Linked DNA regions of Oreochromis niloticus. The protein of the gene in region 2 purifies or fractionates together with the protein of the main gene of each other region. This does not show direct contact. Links are inferred from orthologs where the notes say so. Each region holds a gene or a part of one and is shown on either strand. Other genes may lie near its edges.

Region 1 (7,217 bases), on a different chromosome or scaffold from region 2:
GTCAACCTATAGAAATATATAAATGTTAGCTGGCTGAAAACACGTTTGAAAATTCAGTGAAAACAAACAAACAAAAACAACTTACTGATGCCAAACCCAGGCCCATGTCCCCTGAGCCTACATGTGTGGTATGAACAAAGTTTGTCGGCTCCCCAATCATGGAGCGATCGATCCTTCGCCGCCGTTTCTGAAAAGTATCATAAATGTTCATTTAAATATTAATATCACAAGTAGACTTGCCATACTTCACACATTAAAGCAAATACTACTATCACTGAGAACTGAGAAGAGCATGTGTGAGCCAGAACCTAAACACTTATCAGTTTACTTTCTAAACCTTTGTTTGAAATATAGTGGATCTGCACTGATAAAAACCAATAACTTGAGTTATCTTATCTGTTAGCAAATAGCTCACTACCAAAGTAATAAAGTTTTACTGAATCTGTTTTGTCAATCCAGTGTTACTAAACTTACGTGGGGAAACTTACAGGGAAACGTTTTGAATTTCTATAATGGACACTGATTAATCACACTCAGTCCAGGCTGGAAAAACTAAACCTATGTGAATACTTCACTGTAAAGATTCTCAAACTATTCTGTGGGCAAACAAGACAAATGTGGACAAACAAAAAAGAAAACAAACCTGCCAAAATGTGGAGTGCTATGTTTAGAGGGAAACAAAAGAGTACTGGCAAGCCGACATAAAACACCATCCATAAAAACATGGTGCAGAAAGTACAGTGGGATTTATGGTCGAGCAGAGTGAGCGTGTTAGCTGTCCACTTCGCTCCAGGGCCTGACTGTCTGTGCTACAAACAGTCTGGACAACTGTGGCTCATGTTGTTTTTGGTCTATGAGCCAAACACGAAGGAGAACGAGGTTATAAAACACAAAAGCTGAAGTGAAACCGAGTATTAAAAACAATGAAAACTGTCACTGCAGTCACTTTCTGTGCTTTTCATACATTATTTTTTGATCTTTGAAGTTTTTGCGCGGTTCTCCTATTCCCATTGAACTCTGCTACTGCTCCCTGCTCTTTTCTGGCCCACTTATCAACCAATCAACATTTGGCAGTCGCATACGTCATATGATTCCAGCGAGACGCAGTCAGGATCTTGGAGGACTGCACAGCAGTGCTTCTCGCGTGGGTGAAAACTGGTTTCCCCTCTCTGACTGAAAATTGTATGCAGAGGGACATATTTGCGAGGCTATAAATCCCGCTTATCTTGAGCTGCTTTTATAGCTCAGGTGCACGACAATTCACATTCACAAAGGCAGCAATAAATTCATAACTGCATTACAAAACGTTACAGAATGATATCTGGGCAGCAGTCCTTGACCAAAAAGTCATGACAGATCGTGTGACAGCACACAAGTAAATAAACAAGAGGGTTTTTTCTTGGTTTGTTTTTTTTAAATGAAAAAACAAACAAACTAGGTTTTGTAGTCTGGGTCTAAAACCAATTTAGATACTGTGGCGTGACCTAGATAGCTTCAATGTTAAGTCAAGATATCCCAGATATAGCAGATATAATAACAAATAGTTTTTCCAGTGAGGAATGATCCAAATTCCCTCCCAATCACTGTGCCCGTCTTATGAGCAGCTACAAGAAACTTCTGATTGAAGTTTTTGTTTCTAAAGTAGATTCTAAACTCAGAAGTTAATTTAAATTTTAAAACCTTACATGAGAACAATTACTTGGGGAGTTTAATTCAGACAGGAAATGTACAAAGGTCTATAGTCCGCATGTTTTTGTCATTAACTCTGAATTAGCTGAGCAGTAAACCACATATGACGAGTAATCGATACATTACTCATGATCATTCCAAAGGACTCAACAACTTAGTATTGCCGCGGCAGGACAGGGGTTATTATTGTGACGTCAAACAGTTCCCTATTATAACCAGACTGTCAGACTGTCTGTCTGCCAACAGATGACCTTTGGCAAATATATTTAAAGTGTTTTTTGCCAGCATGTGTTTAACTGGATGAATGCTACTTTGTTAATCTATATTCAAATTAAAAACTTTTAAAAAACAAGGCAGCTTAAATTAAATAAATCACTTCTTCTTGCAAATTTCATACTCACAGGCTGTGGCTGCTCTGCAATGCAGCAACTGAAACAAACCCAGAACTCAGTCATTCTGAGGGCAACGAAGAAGCCGCAGCAGTTTCCTCTCTCTGTTCAGACGTCTCTACGCCCGTCTTCCTGTTCCGTGTTACCAGAGCCACAAACACACGCCGGAAACTGATGACAGACACAGGCCAGTGGCTTCTTGGGGGTAAACCGTTGGCACGAAATGTCTTGTCCCACTTCAGAGCACCACACACCTGCTGACACGTTAACAAATTAAAGGAAAATAAAAAACAAATCTCAATCAATTGCTGATATATTTTGATGTGTATCAGCAGGTTTCGGCTGCTCATGTTCCCCATAGCTAATAGTTCCCTGGCTTTACTTTTACGAGAAGCGACTTTTGATTGAAAACAATATTTAAAAATTCCTTTCTTGGAAGCTTGCCAAGGTTATTTTTAATCATACGAGTAAACGACTGTCAGACACACATACTACATATGAGGCATAGTGAAACATTTACGTCAGAAGGTTAAAAACAGAAAGCTAACCAAATACGTTCACCATATTCAAATGTTAACTTCTCTTGTAACAAGTCTTAAGAAAAAGAAATGGGGCCAGAGTGTGGCCTCTATTTCAACAAGCTGCCCAGGGGGCTCACTGTCACTTTCTCTTTTGTGGTTAATCTCCGGTGGTAAATAACTTACTACCTGAATCTAACAAACAGCCAGTGTTTCAGTTTTCACAAGGCTGTTATTAGCTCCGACACCTTGATAAGTTTTCCATTTTAATTAACATCTCTGTGGACTTGAAGCCGTCTAGAGGCTTATTTCACTAATAGGACAGCAGCACAGAAAATGTGGAGCACCATTTGGGAAAAAAAATAAAAAAAATAAATAAAACTGCCTTCATTGTACTGTACTTGTTCAAAATATACTCAATTCTATAATGAAGGAAATAAATTTGATTTTGGAAGCACACTGTGGCCATCAATTTGGTGTTGGATGACATTTTGTATTTCAAGATATCAGTATGGTGAATGTTGCTATACTGACAAATCCTAGGAAAAGAATACAAGTAATTTTAAAAGGGATAAATGCTGTAAAAAACTTGTGGGATTATCACTAATCTACTAATTTGTTTACAAGGATTAAAGAAAATGCAGTTAAACATATATGATCCACAAAGTTATTATAGTCAATTAAAATTGGGCGTATATTTAAGTTTAAATTACCTAAAATAATCTTAAAATCGTCATCATCAGTCTTTGCCGAATTTAGTCAAGTGTGTCAACACAACTAGGGTGGGGAGGCGTTGTGTTTTGGATGACTCTCTCAATGTGAGCCAACTCCCTTTACAGAGTGTTGTGTTTGTATTGCAACTCCTGTCCAAATATCAGCCACAAAAGACTAAACTAATACTCAAAATAATTAATACCAAACATAAAAACAATTAAAAAAAAATACACTGAAAAGAGTAAACAAGTCGAACAAAACGATTAAAAAACAAACAAAATAAACCCCAAAAAACTGGTGGATATAATCAAACAGTGTTACCACATATTTCGAAATGTCAATCGTGAGTGCCTTTTTTTTTTTGGTCGATGCCTCAGAAAAACACAGTAGAAGGCCTTCTGGCTGCCAAACAAGAGGTGACAGGAGGATCAAATGATCTGCCAAAAGCGAAGTGCTCGCTGACAGAGTGCATTTCCCAGTCTGTAACACTGACTCTGCAGCTGACGCTATACACCGCTGACACTCAACTGAATCCTATTATCAAGACGTAAAATGAGCGCAGACGTGTTTAATGATGATTTTAACCACATCTGACATCCTTTAAGGATCACCAACTCTGCCAGTGATCTTGGATTACTGGAACCTAATCGGTATTTACAAACAAATGAGCGTTATGTAACTTCGCCCCGCTGCGGCAAAGACGCTTTACATGACCAGTCTGAACACAGCTCGCAGCTGAGTGCAGTTCAACACATGTACTGCTGCTGTGCCGGGGCGTCGGCGTTGATTAGAAATGAACTGCTTTAGTAAATCGGAGTGTTAGCTCTATCACATGCTAATACAGCTAGCTCTCCAGCTAACGTTCACGGGCTCGATGATAGCCGCGGGTCTGTGTTTTTTTCCACTGACAGCTAGCTCTCGGAGCTAACTCAGCCCATTTTCGGAAGCTGTGACTTCAGTTGTTAAATTAAAACAAAAGCTTAAACAACTGCTGGTTTTCGCAATTAGAACCAACTATTCTTTCAAGCTTTCTTTGTGAATTGTAATTATTTTGTATGAGAAAACTTACCAGATGGCGACCGGTTTACCGGAGGAAAAAAAACACGTCCGTCCGACTGAACCCTAAAGGAGGCAAAAAACCAGGAACTGTGATCACTGTTACGTCATACAACTTCCGTTTTAAAGCATTACTGCTTCCGCGTAGACCCACGTTTTTTTCTCACAGAAGTTACGTTTGTCCGTTGCTAATATTAAGGATTTATAGTAGTAAATATGAGGCCGCTAACAGAAGAAGAGACCAAAACGATGTTTGAGAAGTTATCTAAATAGTGAGTGAACAGTTTCTGCGCCGTGTTAGCCTGTAAAGGTTCAAATTATACCAACACGTTCAGTAAGCCCGTTAGCTCACGCTATGAGTGTGTGTGTGATCCATGTGTTTTCTCTTGTAACAGCATTGGTGAAAACATAAAACTTCTAGTGGACCGACCAGACGGCGTTTACTGTTTCAGGCTGCACCATGACAGAGTCTACTACATGAGGTAATTTTGGTTAATTAACACGCATTTTGGGTACCTGTCAGTACATGAAAGGATTAAGACGTTTGGTTTTCTGTCCACAGTGAGAAAATTCTAAAGCTGGCCACCAACTTTTCCCGGGACAAACTCATGTCAGTGGGTACGTGTTTTGGGAAGTTTACAAAGACCAAGAAGTTCCGCCTGCACATCACAGCCCTGGATTTCCTTGCTCCATATGCAAAGGTGACTATAAGCAACACACAGCCAAGTCATTCCCTCCCACCAATATACCAAGCGGAGCTTAAATAAGATGGAGGAAACGAAACAATACGGGTATTATTAAAGTCCTCTATAGTAGAGGCTCATTCTGAATTATGCCACTAGATCATCTTCCAGAAGGGTTTTTGAAAAGATTACAGGAAAATTGTAAAGTTGTGGAGTGAGTATAACCAGCTTTTAGGATCAGTGACACATGACGGGTAGAAATTGTTTTTCACCTGTATAAACAGCTGTTTGCTATACAAGTGGAGAATCAGAATATTCAATCAGAAATAAAATCATTGTTCATAGCTGGGAAACACTGGGCATAATTTGCCGGCTCATGTGTATTTGTGTGCTATTACAGGTTTATTGCATGAAAAATGGTGCTGTACAAAAGTTGGTTTATAAACAGGCTGTTATTTAATTTTTTCCATCTCATTTCATCAGGCTTAACATGCACTATAAAAATAATCTTTTTTCAACAAATGGAAGTTCATATGTGAGAAGATGCGTATCTGTGGATACATCTGCCCATTTCACATCTTAGCTACATGGATACTTTAACTGAATGTATTTTTTTTTTTTGCTTTTTGAAGACCCTAAAATTGCGAGAACCTGTATTAAGTCATTGATAAATATTATGAGAACAAGTGAGAAGTAGCTGTATGTGTGCTTAGAAATTCCATGCTTTCTCTCAATTGTTCAAGCTTTTCATCTGTGCTGTCATATTGGACTCATTCATTCATGTATGAATAACTTGAAACTATCATGTATTCAGTTTAAGGTGTGGGTGAAACCTGGAACAGAGCAGTCTTTCCTGTATGGGAACCACGTGCTAAAATCTGGTCTTGGCAGAATTACTGAGAACACTATGCAGTATCAGGGAGTTGTGGTTTACTCCATGGCAGATGTGCCTCTGGTAAGTCCTTTAAAGGTTGCTCTTCTTGTCACACTGTTATGGACAGTATTCACAGTACAACAAAGATACATATTCCTGCTGGTAACACTCATGCTGGAAAACAAAGCACATATTATGCAGATGTTTTGTTTTCCTCAGTGCCGTGTATTCACAATAGGGTATTGGATAGATCCACTCATGTACTAAAAAGAGGTTAATACCTGATTAACTCAAGGTTATATGACAAAAGGCACTTATAGGCTGGCTGTTTGTCTTAATCTGCAGGGTTTTGGTGTGGCGGCCAAGTCTACGCAGGAGTGTCGGCGAGTGGACCCCATGTCTATTGTTGTGTTCCACCAGGCTGATGTGGGCGAGTTCATAAGAAATGAGGAAACATTAACATAAAGATGCAGAAACAAGTGGACTGTCAAACTGTTTATTTTTAACAGTAACACTCACTCAAAGTCAAATGTTCAGCTTTTAGCTGCTAAATATTTTATAGTGACATGATCTGATCAACGTTCCTACTTCAAGAGCAGCTGTTATACCTGGAACACTTCCCTACAGTTCAGAACTAAAACAAAAAACATGTCTATTGACTCACTTCTGCCATTTGCAGAATTTCCTGGTTTGTCCCCTCCCTGTTGTATTAAATGAGAAGGGTTTTGTTTTTGTGTGTATGTTTTTTGTAACTTGAATCTTGAAATAAATCCACATCTCTGTATCATTTAAATTAAAATTTTTACAAATATTTTGTGTGGGAGGAAAAAGGTACCTGTCGATCTTAGCTATATGGATATTTGGCAGCTTTCATATCTTTAATTAAAGGTCTGTTCTGCTTTTCTGAGATCATAAGACTGAGAGAACATACTTTTAAAGCTATTCCCATCTCTGTATCAATTCAACGAGTGTGTTTGTTATTTAGGGCTGCAGAGATGCTACAATAGTCACTATTACTGCAATTTCTGTTATCAACAAAAGAAACAATCTTTGAACCACAAACATTTAATATTTACTAAATTGTAAAGTGGGTTTTAAAATGACCAGTAACTTGTTAAGGAAACCAAAACAAATAAATGGAGATGGGGATAAAATGACATAGGCTTTGGTGAGTCAGACGATATTTGATTTTTTCATTGTTCTCCACCTGTCCTTCAGGTTGACATTTGTTCGATCTTTGAAGTTGTAATATGCCTTTATCTTACTCCAGTTGCCCTCTCCAAATTTTTTGACC
Region 2 (7,286 bases):
GGCCTAATGCCACTGAAAGCAGAATACTCTCCCGATTTTGTAGCTCATAAGTGAAAATTTTCTAATAAAATAAGGCTTCAATCTTCACATTTCCAGGCTGGAAGAATATTTCGTTTCAGCTTCTGAATAACACTAAAGAAAAAAAAATTTAAAAGGGTAAAAAAGGTAAGAAAGAGCACATACATCCTCTCCATCACTGTCATCTTCTGCTGCTTCATCGCTGTCATCCTGAACACCATAGTCGTCAACCATGTCATCGTCATCATCGTCGTCTTCATCATCATCATCGCCTTCATCATCATCATCATCGCCTTCAACATCATCATCATCATCGTCGTCGTCATCATCGGCCTCCTCTTTTTTCACTCCTTTTACACCCTTCTTCTGCTGGTCTTTTCCTCCCTTCTTTTCTATTACCTTTTCTTCCTCTTCCTCCTCATCATCATCTTCTTCCCAGTGTTCATCACTGTCATCCTCACTTTCTTGTTCATCAATCTTGCGCTTCCTCTTTGACGGTTTCAACCATTTGCTGTTCTCATCTGTGAACCCTTTAGGGAGAAAGAAAAAAAGAAAAAACAGTAAATATATGTGTATTTATTCATTTGTTTCCTTGACATTTAAGGGTCTTAAATGTCATGAGCTGAAATCATGGCACATACAAGATGCATTAATAATCAATATCCATCCCTCCCTCCCTCCATTCCCTTTCAGTTATCCTATTCAGGATTGGGAGTGGACTGACGAGTGGACCAAGCTGTTAGCAAGCCAGCCGAGAGATGCAAGCTCAAAAGCCTGTGGACAGCCCCAGGACCTCTTCCCAGTGGAATGGGCTTGAAACAACTCACTTAGGAGGTGCCAAAGAGTCTTCCTGGTGAGATGCCCTAACCACTTCAACTAGATTTTTTCCATGTGCAGGAATAATGGCTCCACTCAAAGCCACTCCTGAATGCACAACCTCCTCACCCGAACTTTAAGGATGAGTCCAGACAGCCTTCAAAAGGAGTTCATTTCTGCTGGTTATATCAGCAATCTTATTCTTTCAGTCACTACCCAAAGCTCACACCACAGTAAACCAGTACAGCAGCTGCATAACTGCTAACGCACCAATCCTTCTACCCGTCTCCTGCTCCTGTCTCCCCTCACTCATGAACAAAATTCTGAGATACTTAATGAACCAGTTTCAGTAACTGGGGATTAGACCAACAAGGCCACCTCCTGACCTACATAGCACAGAACCACTAGAACCCCTCCTTCAGGTTGTGAGACCCAAGAGGACGAACAGCAGATGCTGCCAACGAGCCGCAGAAACCCCAATCTGGATGAAGTAAAATGTTTCAATCCTTGTTTTTCCATAGAAATCTTTTGAATCACATTTAGTCTGGCTGTTCACCATGGATCAATATGCCTTGCCGATATTCCCATAACTGCCCTCGATAATCAATAATAAACAACTGCTTACATAGCTGTAATGATACTGGAGAAGGATGGTCCATCAAAACAACAATCTCATGCTTGCATCTAGGCAAATATTTAAATAATGTGTTGACCAGACTGAGCAAAAGTTAATTGTTTACCTTTCTTAGGCTTTTCCTCAGCAACATCTTTGGGCTTTTTCAAACTCTGGATTCTCTTTGCAGCTCTGAAACATTTTAACATGAATTAGGAGCTTGTAAACACATTTGTTTTATGTCATGTTACATCCTCAGTCCACCTCTTACCTTTTTCTGGCTCTACTTGAGAGACGTTTTGATCCAGTGTCCTCTGCAAAGATTAAAAACAAAAAATAACACAATGTTTACAGAGTGTTTTACTAAACCTCCAAAACAGAAACTTTTGACTTGGAAAGGGATAGTTACCGTCAGTTATAAACTTGGCCAACTCCGTCTCTGCTCCCTGCTGCTTCCGGGCTTTTTTACCCGGACCTTTCTTCAACTTCTTGGAGGGATCCAACTTCCGACCCATGATTTCCTTCTACACAGACAGCCTGAAAAACAAAACACAGCAAGAGTGTTTTAAAACCCTAAGACAAAACTAAAAATACAGTATATGTGAAAGAGAGGAGCGTGGCTGCGGTATTACATATTAACAGTATTATGGGTTTTCTACATACAGTAAACACAATCAATTGGTGTTACCTTATTTGACTCTTATGTTTGAATAAACGATGCCCCAATTACTTCACTTTTCCTTGACTAAAACATCTTTTTTGAGGGGTCCCCAATTATCATTTATGCCTGATAAAATCCTATTTATATAACTTCAATTCAGTTTTAACCACTCAATTTTCCTACAAGCAGAACACAGCACTTAGATCTTATCACTCCTTTCAGTAAAACTCCTAATTACAAACTGAGTTGAGCTGAACACCTAAACTTAAGCCACTCAGCTGCTCTGCTTTTGACAGGAATAAGACATTTCACTGAAGAAAAAAAGTAAAACTTTTTGGATGGAGATCTGCGGGAAAGAAAACCGCCCAACATCATTACAATAAATTCAGCTCCAACACAACCTATGCTCTTTATGATTATAAGCAGTGTTCAAATTATGTAGTGATACAGAGAGGGTCTCTTTACTGTTGAAACAGTAATAAATATTTGTTTGCTTATAACAAATGATTAATAGTTTATTACTAATTCTCCCAGTTCATCCCCTGGGGATTAAACGGTTTAAATATTAATGTATGATCAGACTGTTACCAAACAGCCTCGTTAAAAACTTGTGACCAGTTTCACAGCCATTACCTGACCGCACAGTTTTAAAAAGTACACCCTTACAACTCAAAGCTTATCGCCACTGAACCGCTCTTTAGCTGCAACGCGAATCGCAGCATCGATTCTTCAAATACTCACCAATAAACTGGATACTTTAAGGTCCGCAGACACTAATTATAATGTGATTGTGGAGCGATGCACGACGAAGATTTCTACACGTGAAATTTCCTTCAACACGTTGTAGCGTGACATCCGGCGCACAATAGTGACGAAAGGGTGGCGCGAGCAGAACGAGGGCGCTGAGGAAACACGTTTTATTTTATTAACATAAAACTGTCTGATTTTACCACATAATTACACATTCAAAATCTAGCTAGCTTCATAAAACCCCCCACAAATGACATTTTTTTATGTGCAATACACTCACTTGTGAACGCGCACCTTTGCAGTGACGTAAACTTCCTGCGACAGTCCACAGGGAGGCATCATGGCGGCGGCTAATGGGAAGAAGCGTGGTCTTGAACATTTGGACGAATATGAGCCTAAACCAGCCAAGCATCTCCGCAGTCTGCACGACCGCATGGCGGAGAGGAGGCTGGTGGTTATTCTGGAGGGTGCGTCGTTAGAGACGGTGAAGGTAAGGCGCTAAGGAGCTGTCTTTGCGCGTTGTTTTGATGCAACCCCTACCTGTTTTTAGTGGAAGTGACATCAACGACGATGCTTAATAATAATTTAATTTAAGTCGAGTTAATACATGCTTTTGGCTTGTTTATCATATTCCAGGTCGGGAAAACATTTGAGCTGTTAAATTGCGACCAACACAAAAATATGATCATCAAAAGTGGAAGAGATCCCGGAAAAATAAGACCAGATATCACACATCAGGTAAACACTCATTCCTCAATAATAATGTACAGCCTTATTCTTCACTTGTGTTTGTCAGTCTGTCACAGTTAATCAGAGTGGAGTTTCATTGCATTTAAGTTAATTATATTATTGATTTTATGATTAGAAGTCCATTTCAGGTGTCAGGAGAATCAACTCACAATTCAGAAATATCACAATAGGTTGCTGGGATTAACAAAAGTATCATGATACTGATAATAAAGAAGATGCAAGGAATAGAGGGAGTGAAGGTGGATGAGTTGAAAAACCTTGGGTCAACCAAAGCAATAGGTAGCAGCACACCACAGAGGTGAGGAAGAGTGTGCAGACACAGTGGGGTGGGTGGAGATGAGCGTGATGGGTTATTTGTGACAGAAGGATAGCAATGAGAATAAAAGGGAAGGTTTACAAATTTGTACCGGAGAACAGATAGTGGATACATTAGACAAAGGATGTTGAATATGTGATGCAGAGAGTTTCATTAGCTGACTTTTGACACCACCGCATCAGTAATATTTTACTAATCTGAATATTGCACATATATAACAGTATAGTATGAATAAAAAGTACTAAGTAGTGTAAGAATAATATTAAGTAGTGTAAGAAGTACTTTAGGAACAAAACAACCAAAATGTGTGTAATTACAAAACTAACAAAAATAAAAGTAGGACAACAGACATGAGCGGCTTTTGTGCGCATTTTATTGAGACCGGGATATGTACATAATTGTGAGTCAGTTGCCTTTTGTTTGTATTGTAATACCTACTCTGAACTTCTTATATCTTGGCCTGACAAACACTTCATAAGGAAACTGAAAAATGAAACAAAATACTTTGCAGGCAATCTGAAACTAAATTGTAAAATTAAATTGAAATAAAAATGAATGAATTATTTATCCTTTATGTCTGTGTTTATTTATATAAAGCTCTTTGTGGCATGTTTGTGATGAAGGGCTGTATAAATGGTTTTAACTTTGAACTGTGTATTTCCAGTGTTTGCTCATGCTGATGGACAGTCCGTTGAACAGGGCGGGGCTGTTGCAGGTTTACATCCACACAGAGAAAAACGCTTTAATCGAGATCAACCCGCAGACCCGCATCCCAAGAACATTCACACGCTTCTGTGGCCTTATGGGTAAACTATAACTGTTCTTTTTTTCTGCATGGATAATACACATACTGATCATGCTGTAGGCATTGTACTTAAGAGTCTTATTCCCATGTGTTCTGGCTTTAAGTGAGCCTTCACTCCATTGCTGTTCTCCTAATTCTTCTTTCTTCTCTTTACTTTCTTAGTTCAGCTGCTGCACAAACTCAGTGTCAGGGCTGCTGATGGTCCTCAGAAGCTCCTGAGGATGATTAAAAATCCAGTGTCTAATCACCTACCTCCTGGCTGCCCTCGTATCAGCACCTCCTTCTCTTCGGGAGAGGCCGTGTGCCCACGGACTTTGGTACCAGAGGGACCAGCCGCAGTGGTGATTGGAGCATTCGCACATGGAGCGGTGAGAAATATATTGAGGCATTCTCTTTTACAGACTCTTTTAGTCTGTTACAGTTATGTCAAATAGTTCTTGTGTGTTACTGATGTCTCTGTCCTTATTAGGTTAACGTGGACTACACAGAGAAGACAGTGTCCATCAGTAACTACCCCCTATCTGCAGCACTGACCTGTGCCAAGATATCCTCTGCCTTTGAGGAGGTGTGGGGCGTTCTGTGATGGATAAAGTGCTGATGCTGACTGGAAAGAGACAGTTGACTACATGGACCTTATTTCAGTGGACTAGAAACACTGGACTGAATGTCCAATGATGCCCAATGTTCAATCCTGTTATACGTAATCGATGGCATGATGTGTGGAAGATACATTGTTTCCTTTTCCATGCAGAAGCATGGCAGTTATTTTTATACCGGTATCAATTGCACAGTTTTGATTATGGATTGTTGTAGTTACATTAAAATGTGTGACTAAATAATGAGTGCTCTTGATTTGTACAAAGTTAAAGAGTTCACACATAGACAACCATAAACTAAAAGATGGACATCGCTACTGTGATGTCATCCACTCATAAAGTCCTGCTTTGAAGCACCAAGATGATGTAATGAGAGAGAGAGAGACAGAATTGACTGTGAAACCACGATATGATGATCACAGTTTGACAAACGGACATAACATTTTATTCAACATGACCCAAGTCTCATGACTCAGCCCATAAACTCATCAAGATAGTATTCAGAGGTCAAGTCCAAGAGCTGTTTTGCAATTGTCTTCTAGTGAGGTTTTTCAAGTGACATCATGTGCACAATGCTTTGAGAGTCCATATTGGGTGTCATATAATCACTTGGTTGCTAGGGAAATGTGTATTCTCCAACTGGCTGACAGTGGTTTCTGGAGGTTGCTGGCTCTCCCAGGATAAAATCAGTTGCAGAGAAGGTGCTGCACTAAAAGCACTTTGGTTTGGTTACTAGCAGATTGCCACGGTTGCCTGCAGTTTTTATCTGCCAGCACTTGCCAACTACTAGTCTAGCGGTAGTAAAACTTGAAAAAATGCAACACGAAATGGCGAATGTTTGCCTTCAAAATAAAGTTCAGCCTCAGTGCTGCAGCCAACGTATTTCAAAGGGTGAAAGTTTTACTTTGAAGTTAATAAGTTCATCACTTCCATTCAAACTGCAAAAATGTGCTGCTGATCAAAGCATTCACAAGGAGGTTTATGCTGGAAATATACCTTTTTCCCTAACAACAGGTGATTGCCAGGGAGATCACTGACAGCCTTTAGGCTTGTGTGTCTGGGACTTCAGCAATCAATTCCCCAGAGACTGCCCATCAACCTCCAACAACCACTCATAATAGGTTAGGGAATACTCATTTTTCCCTCACAACTGGTGGTTGCCAGGTAGATACAGGCTGTCTCTAGGCTCGTGTGACTGAAGCCTTATTCACTTGATCCTACATTATCACCCATTTAAAATGGCAATCACATGGTTAATGATCACATGTCTGTCTGACCTCAATACACAATCTTTTTGCAACCACAGGTATCGCCCCCCAAGGAGCATTTAAAAGAAAGGCAAGTTTCCACCGAAGCTTCAGTTTTCAGAACTAGTGTCTAAAAAACTGTGTCGATCTTTTATGCGATCTATGGTCTGTACAGTGAAGTGAAGAAAAAATGATATAGGAACACAAAGACAACATAGAACTAAGTGTATTTCAGGATGCTAAAAACGGGTTCTGTTTATTACTGTTTACCATGAAGACTCAGCCTAGTGGTAGTAGTAAGTGCTTTTCCTCGATCTCAACTTTGATTTTGGAAGCCTCCGTCTTGCTTGCTTTTTATGCCGATTTTGGACTCGGTTTGGTCGGCGTCTCCGAGTCTTTTGAGCCTTCCTCGGTGCCTTTCGAACTCGTGCGCCCCTGTTCGTTGCAGGTCTGCGTTTCTTGCCAGCAGGTTTTGGTGATTTTCTTCCTTTGGTTGTCTTCCTTCTTTGTTTGTGTGATTTGGCTGCTGCTTTGCGAGTTTTGCGTGCTAGTTTGTGCGATGTGACCGCCATTCTGCGACGCTTGCGTTTTCGATTGGGTGATCTAACTTTTCGAGGTGTTGCCCTTGTTTGGTGTGATTTGCTCTTTGGTTTGGTTTGGTTTGGCTTTAACACTCGTCTCTTTTGGTTCTCTGCTCCTTTGGGGGATTTGCTT
Region 3 (7,069 bases), on a different chromosome or scaffold from region 2:
TTATTGATACAATTTCTGTGCGTTTCACTTCATATTTGTAAAGTTCTCAGTATCCAAGGTGTGATCCAAGTTTTCCAGTTGATAATCAACATCCTTTTCCTCTGGGCCATCTTCAGCACATTCAAAGCCTTTGATACTTTTAATTGTAACTTGGCAAAAACTCATTTCTATGAAAGAAGTCCTAAAGAAAGACTTTGTGTTTTATTTGATCTTTTGTTTTTAGGGGATTTGAATGCATTTTTACTACATTTTTATGTATTCTTTGTACAGATTTTGATGTCATGGTCACTGATCCAAGAGAAACAACCCGCAACCGATGTAAAGGTAAACATTTTTGACAGTGCCTCGAATCTGAGCTTCCCACTGCAGAACTGTTTAGAAAAATCAAGCACAAATTAAGTGGAACGAGTGTTTACAACTATGCAGGTACAATGTTCAGATAATTCAATATAGGAAAGTAAACTTCAACGACTAGTACAATAGAAGTTAAATGCAGTCATCTAAATTAAGTAAGAACACTGCTTGCAGTTACAGCATTGTTCTAATGAGTAAGATCTGCAGTATGTAATGTGCGTGGAGACCATGATGCCAAAGGCTGAAGCTGCTGTGAGAGGTGAGGAGCTGTCAGTGGCAGCTGTATTTGCAGCAAAGACTGCTTTGTCTTATGTTGCTCCATTTATCAAATTTGCTTTATTGATTTTAGTCACAGAAGAGTATTTCCTGAACTCTAAGCATAAGAATATTCCACTTTAATTCATTTGTCCAAAACAACACGTTAGAATGCATTTGATCATATGAAACATAAACTTCAGCTTTGGCTCCTACCTTTGACGTCCTGAGTCGGACAGTCGACCGGGAACTCCGCCTGCTCCGGTCTCCCGTTCACCGTGAAGTAGATGACTTTTGTTTCCATGTCATGAATCTAAACCCACTGATGCTGCTGTGTGCACTGCTGAACTGGCTCTGATGTCTATCTCCTCTCCACTCCACCCCCTCTCCACCTCCTCCTAAGCTCCTCCTCCTTCCCTGCCTTTGACTCCAACATTTCTCCGAGCAACAGCCAACTGTATTCACCTGAAATTTAGATTTTTATAACAATTACAAAGGTTATGATGGTGTTTTTTAAGTGATTACAGTAGTGGTTCTCAAATTGTGGGTGACAAATTAAGGGCACAGAGGTGAACATGGTGTACAAGAAAGAGAGAATGGTCTTTATAGAGCCAAACTGAGAATGAGATAACCAATGAGAGTGTTTTTGGCTGTGATTTAAGTGCTGTAGCGAACCTGCTGTTTAGTGCACGTTGTTGCTTTTTAACTCAAAGGGTCAAAGTTGAACTCGACCTCAGAGTGAGTTACGGTTTCTCTGGAGACAATACTTTTAAATCTGACTGAAGTAATATAAAGCTTACATGTGATCAGATATCAGCTTTTTGCGGCTCATTTGTTAGGGCACATGTTCAGCCTTTACAGGGTTCCCCTATGCTGTGATGCTGTGTACATACAGTAGTAGTCACATGCTATGAAACAGTATTAAGATCATGTTAAGAATTTTATAGAAGGTATAGGAGCCATGGCAGTCCTTTGGTTTGAAACAACAACCACAATCTCCACATTTAGACTTTTTTTTTCTCAAAATACTAATTAAATTTAATGTCGAAATTTCAACTTTAATCCTAAAATGGCCATTTTTTTTTCTAAATGTGAAAACTTTTATATGTGTTTATTTTTGTTTGTTGTTTAAAATTTGACTTTTATATATTTTTAGTTCAGAGTTTTGTATTTTTGCTTTTATTCTCCACAGTTTTAAGTTTTCTTTCATTTTCATTTCAATATATTTCATTTTTATGTATTTATTTATTTATTGCATTTGTTTTCAAATTTATTCAAATTTTCAGTTTTTGCACAAATGTGTTTTTCTTTCCTTGAAATATTTATCTTTTTTGTAATTTAAGACTTTGCACCAAAATGTATGAAACCTTATAAAATAAAATATGATGCTTACACAATTACTTTTTTCAGTTTTACACATTTTTATTATTTCCATTCTTAGGATTGGTGTTTGAAGCAGGAATTTTTATCATAATTAAAATTGTTATGAGATGTTTCTTATGAATAGAAATGTAGTGGTTCTCAAACTTTAGAGGTAAAGATGCATACAGCCAGGTGAGACATAAGAAGTGATAATCATATAAGAAAATGTGATGTTGATTTCCCCCCAAATATAGCTTATACTACTACTACTAATAATTATCATCATCATTAGTAGTAGTAGTAGTATCAGCTATAATAATAATAATGATAATAATAATAATAATGATAATAATAATAATTATTATTATTATTATGAGAAAATTTTGATGATAATTATCATCATCATTAGTAGTAGTATCAGCTATATTTGGGGGAAATCAACATGTATTTGTAAGCGCTTTACACTACATTCAGTCATTCACACACAGGTGATGGCAAGCTACATTGTAGCCACAGCTGCCCTGGGGCGCACTGACAGAGGCGAGGCTGCCAGACACTGGCGCCACCGGGCACCACCACCAGTAGGCAACGGGTGAAGTGTCTTGCACAAGGACACAACGACCGAGACTGTCGGAGCCGGGGCTCGAACTGGCAACCTTCCGATTACAAGACGAACTGCCAACTCTTGAGCCACGATCGCCCCTGTAAGAAGAAGAAGAAGAAGAAGAAGAAGAAGAAGAATACACTAAAAAAAAAAAGATTTAGCTGAAAATTCTGACTTTAATCCAATTACTTGCAAAGTTTTCCATTTTTTTTGTTAAATAAATACAAAGTAAAATGTTGAATTTAAATGAATATGGTCAAATTAAATGTAGTTGATTGGTATACAAATATACCAGGAAAATTTTCCCTCTTTCCCTTCGTTGCCTCAAGGCAACACTGTGCAGTTAGCCTATTTTTTTTCAGGCAATATAATGCATTTGAATATGTGTGTAGAGATGTGTTTGTGTGCATTTATATGATCATAGTCAATGTTTTTTACTTTACAATCTTCTTATAATTACAAGACATGGATGTAAAAACCATTTATGGAAGGAAACCAAGGGAATGAGCACTTTCTGTCCTCAGAAAGTGAGGACAGTGAGCTTTCAGGGAGTGACAGTGAAGTAGAGGAGTGGATCCCTGAATCAGGTTTGAGAGACACTTAGGAGCTCAGGGGTCAGTTGGTAAAGTAACTGTGTCTGTGTGTGTGTTAGTGTGTGTGTGTGTGTGGTCGTGTATTACTTATTGTTGTGTGGACACAAATTTGTTTACACACTCACATTGTGAGGTCTTGCCTACTTTATGGGGACAAATAGCAAGGTAAATCATTCAATTTTAGGGTGAAGGCTTGAGTCAGGGTTAGGGTAAGGTTCAGGCAGGGACTTGTGATGGGTAGGGTCAGGATAAGTCTCCAGGAAATGAATGTAAGTTAATGTAATGTCCCCAAAAGTGATGGAAATACAACATGTGTGTGTGTGTGTGCATGGGGTTAGGGTCAAATGTTGGATGTATTTTGGTGTTTTATTGTTCTGTGAAATGTTTACATTGTTTTTTTGTTGTTTATTTATTTGTTCATCCTTGTTGTACTAATAAAACTTATTATAGAATAACTTGGTGTTTGACTACCCTTGTCACACAGTGTTGCCTTGAACTTGAAGCAACAAACCAATATCTGTTTGGGGGGGGGGCAGGGTGTCAAATTTTATGATTGATATATTATTAGGGACCCTAAAGCTCCCCCAAAATAGGGAGAAATATTTTTTTCCCAAAAAATTAAAAAGTCATGCAGTAGAGGGTTAAATATTCTTAAAGAGGAACAATAATAATAAATAAACCTTTGTTTTTTTTAATTTCACTTTCCTTTAATTAAAACATTGCTTCATTTTTACTGAGTTTTTTTTCTCTTTCTTTTTTGAGCGTGAAAATAGTTAATGTAGACGAAACCGACTAACAAACTCACCTCCGCGCCTGTAGGTGTCGCTGCACAGAGCGCGGAGCTGCAGACGTGACGCGTTTCTCCGTCACTCGTTGGTGTTCAGCGCATGTGCAGCCGGATGTGGGTCATTATCAGCAGCAGCATCGTGGTTTTTGGACGGCTAAGTGAGTGTTTGTCTCAGTTTATGTGGCGTTTGTAGCTTCCAGCAGCGAAAAATGAGTGAAAGTGGCGCCGAAGCGGCTCCTGCTGCGGCCAAAGAGCTGCTGGCGCTGAATCCTGCACAGGAGTCCGAGTTCAGGAAGAAGGTTCAGGAGGTGAAGAAGAAGAAATCAGGCAAGGTGGGTGAAACATGTGGCCCTGAAGGAGACCCGATAGTCTGCAGTTATTTTCCTCCTGTTTACTGTCGCTGACTTTACTCTCAGACTGCTGATGTCTCTCTCTGTAGTCTGTGTTTAACTCAGGTTCAGGTGCCGTCAAACCTTTATAGGCTCGTGGTCGTTACTCTGTCAGTCGGCCCACGTGCAGCATATTTACTCAGGTTTACAGATGTAAGGCAGGCCCGTTTTTTTAAAAAAAAAAGAAGAAAAAATGACATCCTGTCTCAAATTATTAAGTTTACGGACTGAGAGAAAGATTAATTTTATTATAGTAAAGAAATGGAGAGAACTGGCCCCAAAGAAATGTGACCAAACTGAATGTAAACTGATATTTAAACAAGAAAATCTGTAAATGAGGTGAACATCTGTATGTTTAATATATATAAATTGTATTTATTTTGTACTTTTATTTTGTAGACTTTTTAAAAGCCGGTCTGGGAAAAATAAATCTTTATAGTATCGCATTTTGTTTTTCGTAATTTAGTCTGTGCATTATATCGTATTACAATCTGATCACAGGTGAAGGCCCAGTTCTCTGTGTAATGTCGTGATCTGTCTTTTCCCCATCACAGGCGAACCGCCTGACCCCAGGAGTGATTTACGTCAGCCACTTGCCCCGAAACCTGGTGGAGCCTCAGCTCAAATCTTACTTCGGTCAGTTTGGGAAGATCCTGCGGCTGCGGCTGTCCCGCAGTAAGAAGGTAACCCTGAACATGTGGAAACAAACGTGTGAATGTGTGAGGCGCAATCAGAATCTTCAACTGCATCTGTAAAACTTTCACAGCTCCTGCAGTGATGTATCACTTCCTTCAAACTTCACTTGGAGTCTTTTTTTTTTTTTTTTTTTTTTTTTTTTTTTTGGATAAAACTTTAGAGTCACTGAGAGGCTGATTTTAGACTGTGTGGTTTGAGGCCTCATAGCCAGAACAGAAACTTCCAGATAAAAATCTTGGGTATAACTCACCAGAAAAGGAGCCCACATGTTGCATCAAAGCAAAAAATGACCTTTGAACTATAACTTGGTAAAAAGTTGCATGGATTTGTCTCCTGAAAGCAGTAACAAAGTAATAAAACTGACTCCCAACAGCTCCGTGTTCAGCAGGAGCAGTTGAGGAACTTCTTGATCGCCATTCTTGAAACCAGCACACTCTCTGCAAACATTTAGATTCCTTTATTTTGGTTTAAGAAGTCCAGGCAGGAGCCTGTTTGAAGCTCCACTTCTTAAAATCTGGAGTTTTGGCTGAGACTGAAAATGATCTCAGATGTAAAAGTCGTCTGAGGTCAGATAACTGAGCCTAGAGTACTCTGGTACATTAAGCTTATCACCTGCTCTGCCTGTTATCAGAGTGATAAAACCCATGTGCCAACAAACACTGGAGGGAATGAAAACATCTGGAGGGCAGAATCTGTGACTGTCACTTTATTCCTCTCTCTGTTTGTTTGCAGACTGGTAACAGCAAAGGTTACGCTTTCATCGAGTTTGACTGCGATGAAGTGGCGAAGATTGTTGCAGAGACGATGAATAATTACCTGATGGGAGAGAGACTTATCAAATGTAAGTCAGAGTTCACCTTTTAGATCCTGATTCACAGGAAGTTTTCCTGTAAAGGTCGTAGTTCCTAGCTGATGTTTATTTAAATTTATAAAAAAAAATGTTTTCTCCCAGGTCAGGTGTTTCCTCCCGAGAAGGTGCACGAGAAGCTGTTTGTTGGCTCGGAGCGAGGGTTCAAAAAGCCGACGTATCCCGCAGTAACGCGTTACAACAAGAAGCACACGGAGGAGGAAATTGCAAAAATGACCGGCAAGCTGCTGCGCAAAGAGTCAAGGCTCCGAAAGAGGATCGCCGCATACGGCATCGAGTACGAATTCCCCGGATTCGTAAGTGTTTACACGCTGGAGCGGAAACTTTAAACGGGTTTAGGTTTTAAAAATTGGAAGTGTGCCGTGACATGGCAGCATATTTAAAGGCGTCTGATTTAATTAATGGATTTCTTGCAACTAAATTCCAAACAGCGTGCAGCTGTGATCTGTTCAGAAGCTTCAGTTTTTACAAAAAAGGATTTTCAGAGAATTACAGGCTGATAACAGCAATTTGGAATATTGCTGATTCCATATAAATTCAACTGAATCTGGAAAAACGTTCCCACCTGTCCCCCTGAAAATCATCTGGTTATTTACAGAAACTTTAGATTATTTAATGAAGCCATGCACACTTTTACCCTCATGCTTTCTTACGAGTCATTCCCTGCAGGAATCTCCCCACTTCAAATATAAATGCCACAAACTAAACTCATGGTTGTTTGTAGCTTTAGAAAAAAGGCTTTCAAAATATGAAATCCTGTGATGTGCTGCGATTTAAGCCTGCGGGCTGCTGGGACTTGCAGTAGAAACCCTGCACAATAAACAGTGAAAACTATGATCAGTGTCTTCATACTCTTTATTCTGTCTGAGCAACAGTCCAGAAAGTCAAAGCAGATTCTCTTTAACCTCAGGCCTCAGATACTGTGTGCAGTCCAGGACCGTTAGACTGTTAGATCGGTGTCAACTCGGCTTGGTTGACTCTGTGGATTCTTTTAAAAAACAGTTAAAAACTTTTCTGTTCAAACAAGCCTTTTGTTGATCTATGTATTTTATATATATATTTTTTTACATTATTTATATTTGATCTTTTACATTGTGTATAATGTCTATTGATTTTATTGTTTATTTTAATATTTGTGTACAGCGCTTTGACTGTCTGTGA
Region 4 (6,409 bases), on a different chromosome or scaffold from region 2:
AAGTCGCCCAACAAGCAGGTATATGAGATTTTAGCTATACTGGTGAATTACTGCCCTTGGAATTAAAATACATCTTATCATGGCGAGTTTGGTCAGGTCAGCCAAAAATGATTATTTTAATTTGTACCTGAGGTGATGTGAGGCAAAGCCGTTTAAATTAATGAGTGAAACATTTTAGGTTTAAAAAGTTCCAGGTGGCCATTGAGGAGGGGGTTGTAATGAGTATATAACCTCTAATTGTAGACCAGGAAAAAAATATTTATTTATCAGTTATTCTTTTTTGTTTAGTTTTTCCTTATTTATCTTCTTCCTGATTTTATGGTAACAGAGTTTATTGAGAAGTTGTGTTTTCAATTTAAGGAGCTTGGAAATACAGTGCCTGGACTTCTTAAGGTTTCTTGAAGACGTTTCCCCTCTCATCCAGGTTTCTACACAGACATAGTCTATGAAGGGTTAATGGAGATTAAAGATCAGATGCAGGTGCTAAAATCAAATGCCACCTGTGGGCAACATGGTTTTATTCTGTATTCTTACATTTTGGGGACGCAAAGGGGGTGGAGGGCGTCAGTTGGTCTCAGGATCTCGCCTTCGCTTTTTGTCTCTGATGTGCTGCAGCTGGCTTGATTGAGCCATGACGTCCAGCTCATACTGGGGCGGTTTGCAGCCGAGTGCGAAGCTGTTGGGATGAAAATTAGTACCTCCAAGTCTGAGGGCGGAAAAAGAGTGGAGTACCCACTCTGGGTAAGGAACAAGTGGAGCGGTTTAGTATCATGAGATCTTGTTCATGAGTGAGGGGAGAGCTGCAACGATGTGGATGCTGAACCGGTGAACATGAAAGTAAAACTGTCAGTTTAGTGGTTGATCTATATTCATACCCTCACTTATGCCCACAAGACACAATCAGCAGAAAAAAGCTTCCTTCAGAGGGTGTCTGGACTCTCCCCTAAAGATGGGATGCAGAGCTCAGTCATTCAGCAGAAACAGCCATTAATCCTTCGCATCCAAAGGAGCCAGCTGAGTTGTTTTGGACTGGGATGTCTCCTGGACACCTCTTGGGTGAGGTGTTTTGGGGATGCCCTATTGAGAAGAAACCTTGTTTGCATCTCTCGGCTGCCTTGGTGTCCCCCTGAATGAACTAGAAGGAGGTGGTTGGGGAGAGGGAGGTCTTCTCTGCTTCTCCGCAACCCTGATCCAGACTCGGATAAGTGGGAGTGGATGAACAGATTAATGGATGAATGGATGGCCATTCTAACAGTATTTTTGTTTTATTATGACAATATTGAGGTTCATCCCACAGTCTAAAAAAATCAGAATAGAAAATGGAAGATACGACTTTGATATAATTTTGAGATCAGCGGCTCATCATGCACGTTCTGTTGATCAATTTAACCAAATTGACAAATGCTTAAATTTTAAATATTTCTCATGTATTTCTATTTTATTTTAGCTTGTTTTGTAAGTACATTGCCTTCAAAGGTTTGGCATTACGTACACAGATCTGTGTTTTTGAACAAACAACACATTTGCATTTATTTAAAATAACAATAAATTGATCATAAATTATGCAAGTGACTATTAATGATTCATTGAATTATTCATCCTTATTGATTTTTCATCAAGTATCCATTTTCAGGAGCCATCACTCAAGTGTTCCTCAGCCATATTGTGTTCCCTGATGTTAAAAGAATAATAACAACTTTTCCATTTGTGTTAGCACTGTTAAAGTTTCCTCTATCCAAGGTCTGTATTTTTAAAAATTTTAATATTTAGCGTTTATTGGCTTTGCGTCTCTGTCTTGAAGGCCAGCATTATGAGGTCGCCTCTTCACGGCTGATATTGAGTGTGGTGTTTTGTGGGTACCTTTAGTCACGATTTGCGAGGGCAGATTGCGTGGAGAGGAGAGTGGACCAAAAGCAGACAAACAGCGAGATAGGTGGATGTTTAACAGACAGCGAGCCTTTATTCTTGGCTGCAGGAAAATACTACAAAACAACTAGCGAAGGGGAACTGAGAAAAACATAAGCACATGAGATACACAGAAAACACAATATAGAAACCTGGAGAAACCCCGGGACTTGGAAACACGAGAAGTGAAGCAGTGGATGATGAGCAGACGATCCGACAAGAACAAAGGAAAATACACACAATAAAGACAGAGGGTAACGAAGGTGACAGAAGGGAGACACAGCTGAACCTAATCTGACACATAAGACAAAGAGGAAGCAAAGCGGCACAGGCGGTTGACTGGTTGGCGGTGTGGTGTGTTGCGGCAGCCGCAAGGCAGTTGAGCGGCTGGCGGTATGGCGTGGTAGCTGTAGGCGGTTGAGCGTTTGGTGGAGCAGTGTGGCAGCTATAGGCGCTTGAGCAGTTGGCGGCGCAGCAGCTGCAGCCGGTTGAGCGATTGGTGGCATGGCGTGGCAGCTGCAGTCAGTTGGTGGCGTGATGTGGTGTGGCATCCGCAGGTAGTTGAGTGGTTGGCTTCGCGGGAGCCGCAAGTGGTTAAGCGGTTGACGGCATGGCGTGGCAGCCACAGTCTGTTGGCAGTGTAGTGTGACGTGGCAGCCGCAGGCGGTTGAGCGGTTGGCAGCGTGGCGTGGCAGCCGCATGCGGTTGAGTGGTTGAGCGGTTGGTGGCGTGGCGTGGCGTGGCAGTCGCAGGCGGTTGAGCGGTTGAGCAGTTGGTGGCGTGGCATGGCGTGGCGTGGCGTGGCGTGGAAGCTGCAGGCGGTTGAGTGGGAGCGGTTGAGCAGTTGGTGGCGTTGCGTGGCGTGGCGTGGCGTGGCGTGGCAGCTGCAGGCGGTTGAGTGGTGGCTAACCTGATTCTCCTGAGTGTACAACAGACAAGGAAGGTGGCTGGACGGGCTCACCTGAGCGAGGAACAAGAGAAAACACACACAAAGACAGAGGGTAACAAAGGAATACGAGACAAAAGGGAGACACAGCTGAACTTAATCTGGCACATGAGACAGGGAGGAAGCAAAGCAGAATACTCTAACACAGGTGTGGGGATGTCAAAGTAAAGCAGGAAATACACAAATATAGGAACCAGGATAACTAGACATAATACAGAACACAGGGGAGGCACATTAACAAAACCTAAAGCCTAGGAACTAAGAATATAAAACAAGCAGAAAACAATAAAGAGAACCAAAACCATGAATAACAATAATCAAGGAATATAAATTAAACAAACACAAAACACAGGGTCACAGACCCAGTACTGTGACAACTTTTAATGAAGATGCTAGTTGTGGAGCTGCAAGGTGACTCAGAGTCGAGGTTCTGATGTAATCTGATGTTCTGCTGCTTAGCTGAGACACCAGGGTCTCCCTTCTCTTTTTCTAAGGTTAGACACCCTCCACACATGTAATTTAACAAATGCAGTGCTCAAAAACAGCAGGACAATTTTCATGTATGCTAACATAAATTAGCCCTCAATACATTTTCATTGGGTAACACAGTGTCTAACTGAAACACAGGAATGACTGCTGATAATGGACACTTTTATGCCTATGTATAGATAATCCATTAAAATCATGAATGATATACTATGAATGACTCCATTAATTTTCATTTACACCATTTCTTGTCAATTCAATGTAATTTCTATAGAAAATAAAAAAAATTTTTTATATAAAACAAGAACATTATAGAACCTCAGGTGGGTTTTTTGTTTTGTTTAAAAACACCTTTAGATTTTTTAATTTTGGAAATGTATTTATTATTAAAGGCAGATCATTTTTGTATACAGTGATGAGAAAAAGTCCATGTGCCACTTCTCATTTCTTTATATTTTGCTTGAAAAACAGGAAATTGGCAGAGCGATTTATTGAAGCATGTGCAAATATATATAAATACATGTATATACAGCATATAAGAGCAAAGATTGAGTTTGTGCTCCATTTTCAATCCATTTTTTCTATCCAGGTATGCTTTTACTGAAATGACAGTATGTTTGGTTTCATTGTCATGCTGAAAAATGAAGATGTTGCCAATTGGACAATTTCTAGATGGTGTTGCATGGTGGATCTGTATCTGATGCCACTGAGGTCACAATTCATCACTTTTGACAAGATCTCCAAGACCACTGGATGAAATGCAGCGCCAAACCATGACGGAGCCTCCACTGCGTTTTACAAATAACTGTAGACACTCACTGTCCTGCCTGCATATTGATGACAATCTGAACCAAAAATGTCATATTTGAATTCATCACTCCATCAGATCTGCTGCCACTGATTTTGAGTCTAGTTCTTGTGTAATTTGGCATACTTCAGCCTTTTCTCCCCGCTTCCCTTCCTTAAGAACAGCTTCTTGACAGCCACCCTCCCACTGAGACCATTTCTGGTGATGCTTCAGTGAACACTAAATGGATCACCTGAAGGGCCAGATCCATCTCTCGGGTCCAGTATCAGGTCTTTGTGGATTTTTCTTCCTGTCTCTTGAGGACATGACTTTCAGATACAGTCGCTGTTACGCAAAGAAATGAAACGACAGCGCTCTCCTGTGGTCACGTGTCAAACTGCAGCTCGACGACTTTGACCCGGAAGCAGTTTCGTGTGTTTTTCCTGCCTCACACGTGGGGTTTTCAGGCAGCACTGAGCAACATGGCAGCGTGCAGTGTAGAGGAGTTGTTGGCTAAAGCTGAGGCGCAAGAGGCGGAAACCCTGAAAAGCATATCAGTCCAGAAAGAGCTGGACCTGGAGTTTGACATCGGGAACCTGCTGGCGTGTGACAAAAACCGCATCGAGCCTCGCGACCTCCGGGAGAAGAGCAAAGAGGACTTTCTGCGTGCTCTCGCTCGCGACAACACGCAGCTTCTCATCAACGAAATATGGAAACAGCCCACGGAGAGGGTCGAGGAGGCGATAGTGGCCAAACTGCCGGAGCCGACGACCCGGCTGCCCAGAGAGAAGCTACCACCGAAACCCAGACCTCCAACAAAATGGGAGCAGTTCGCCAAGCTGAAGGGCATAAAGAAGAAGAAGAAGACCAACCTGGTGTGGGATGAAACCGCAAAGGAGTGGAAGAGGCGCTGGGGCTACAAGAGGGCCGGCGATGACACCAAAGAGTGGCTGATCGAGGTCCCCGAGAGCGCAGACCCGAATGAGGACCAGTTCGCCAAACGCGTCAAAGCCAAGAAGGAGAGGGTGGCCAAAAACGAGCTCAACAGGCTGAAAAACATCGCCAGATCGCAGAAAGTCAAGATCCCTGCTGTAACCCTGACCCCCAAAGCCAGCCAGTCCAAAGATGAGCTGGCCAGAGCCGAAAGTGTGGCCAAAACCTCCACAGCATCCTTGGGGAGGTTTCAGGACCGCCTGCCCAAGGAGAACCCAGCAAAGAAGGGCAAGAAGAGGAAATTCGAGCCCCTCATTGGCAACTTTTCTAATGAAAAGCAGAAGCAGCTGGAGCTCCTGAAAGTCATGGACACTAAGAAGCCCAAGTTGGACATCACCAAAGCTGTGAATAAACAGATGAGGGAGGAGGACAGAGAGGAGGCTGCTGCCAAACACAAGAAGGCAGCAGGGAAGAAGGGACGTAAAGGCAGCAGCATGGGTGGAAAGGCCAGAGGAAAAGGTGGGAAAGGAAAAGCAGCAGGAGGGGGAGGAGGGAAGAGAAGAGGCAAACCTGGGAAGCGCTGAGGACTCTTGTGTCTTCCTGTGTGTGGGTGTGTGTGTGCCTGCCTTGGCATCAAAGTGTTGGACATTCATGATGCAATATGAACTGATCACCTGGTTTACCTGTGGCCCACGGGTGGGATGCTCCCTCCATCTATGTAAACTATGTTTACTGTAAATTTTGACCCCAGCAACCATGATGTTTCTTTTCGATATATGTGTAATATTCATGAAAAAAATTCACAAATATACTTTAATATTACAGCCAAGTAGAACACGAGTGACTTGTTTTTCTGTCTTTAATTATTGCAGAAGTTATTTTTTAGTTCTGTGTGATTAAGGCTAATTTTGTTACCCTTTACATATTACTTTTTAAACTCTATATATACATTCAAAAATATTTGACTTCTAATTTTTAATTTCATTAAGTTTATATGAGTTACATAGTTTTAACGACAAAGTTTAATGTAGTTTATGTAACTTTGGGGAAAGACTTTAATAGTACTAATAAACCCAGAGTGTTTGTGCAAAACAAATTGGGATTATAAGCATTATTTGATATTTTAAATTAACTTACAATTTAAAAAAAAAAACATTCTTTAAATTGGGCTCAGGGACCCACATTTGTCTGTAGTCAGGAGGTCAAGAAATAATTTCCTATAAATCATAAAGGTTTGCTGCTGAATGATTAAAAAGTGTTACTCAAATGAAGATTTTCACGTGATTGTGGCTAATCATGTCAAACTAATGAGCTCACTCTTTTCTGTCAGGGTGCATCAACGTTCCTTTGGA

Evidence for each region.
Region 1: the proteins of nop2 (region 2) and nip7 purify together in Homo sapiens (affinity purification with mass spectrometry; 3 studies listed by BioGRID and IntAct, with this or other methods). This does not show direct contact. The link is inferred for Oreochromis niloticus from reciprocal best matches to the Homo sapiens genes NOP2 and NIP7.
Region 3: the proteins of nop2 (region 2) and nifk fractionate together in Homo sapiens (co-fractionation; 3 studies listed by BioGRID, with this or other methods). This does not show direct contact. The link is inferred for Oreochromis niloticus from reciprocal best matches to the Homo sapiens genes NOP2 and NIFK.
Region 4: the proteins of nop2 (region 2) and rrs1 fractionate together in Homo sapiens (co-fractionation; 3 studies listed by BioGRID and IntAct, with this or other methods). This does not show direct contact. The link is inferred for Oreochromis niloticus from reciprocal best matches to the Homo sapiens genes NOP2 and RRS1.

Annotation. Positions count from the first base shown.
Region 1 is NC_031965.2:26,934,774-26,941,990, forward strand, and holds nip7 (60S ribosome subunit biogenesis protein NIP7 homolog), read left to right. Parts: upstream 1-4,496; 5' UTR 4,497-4,582; coding exon 4,583-4,638; intron 4,639-4,761; coding exon 4,762-4,848; intron 4,849-4,928; coding exon 4,929-5,067; intron 5,068-5,863; coding exon 5,864-6,004; exon of another isoform or gene 6,005-6,097; intron 6,098-6,204; exon of another isoform or gene 6,205-6,268; coding exon 6,269-6,388; 3' UTR 6,389-6,716; downstream 6,717-7,217. Other genes in the region: cdc42se2 (CDC42 small effector protein 2), read right to left, coding at 1-6, 86-187, 2,091-2,144; telomeric repeat-binding factor 2, read right to left, coding at 7,097-7,217.
Region 2 is NC_031976.2:23,055,813-23,063,098, reverse strand, and holds the start of nop2 (28S rRNA (cytosine(4447)-C(5))-methyltransferase), read right to left. Parts: upstream 3,004-7,286; 5' UTR 2,850-3,003; intron 1,985-2,849; 5' UTR 1,963-1,984; coding exon 1,857-1,962; intron 1,762-1,856; coding exon 1,719-1,761; intron 1,640-1,718; coding exon 1,575-1,639; intron 549-1,574; coding exon 184-548; intron 1-183. Other genes in the region: emg1 (ribosomal RNA small subunit methyltransferase NEP1), read left to right, coding at 3,199-3,348, 3,495-3,596, 4,589-4,730, 4,892-5,097, 5,199-5,312; histone H1, read right to left, coding at 6,857-7,286. UniProt on the Homo sapiens protein: S-adenosyl-L-methionine-dependent methyltransferase that specifically methylates the C(5) position of cytosine 4447 in 28S rRNA. Required for efficient rRNA processing and 60S ribosomal subunit biogenesis.
Region 3 is NC_031987.2:8,321,710-8,328,778, forward strand, and holds the start of nifk (MKI67 FHA domain-interacting nucleolar phosphoprotein), read left to right. Parts: upstream 1-4,048; 5' UTR 4,049-4,164; coding exon 4,165-4,287; intron 4,288-4,898; coding exon 4,899-5,027; intron 5,028-5,567; exon of another isoform or gene 5,568-5,698; intron 5,699-5,772; coding exon 5,773-5,881; intron 5,882-5,992; coding exon 5,993-6,204; intron 6,205-7,069. Other genes in the region: high affinity cGMP-specific 3',5'-cyclic phosphodiesterase 9A, read right to left, coding at 826-913.
Region 4 is NC_031974.2:19,369,868-19,376,276, forward strand, and holds rrs1 (ribosome biogenesis regulatory protein homolog), read left to right. Parts: upstream 1-4,572; 5' UTR 4,573-4,606; coding exon 4,607-5,641; 3' UTR 5,642-5,897; downstream 5,898-6,409. UniProt on the Homo sapiens protein: Involved in ribosomal large subunit assembly. May regulate the localization of the 5S RNP/5S ribonucleoprotein particle to the nucleolus.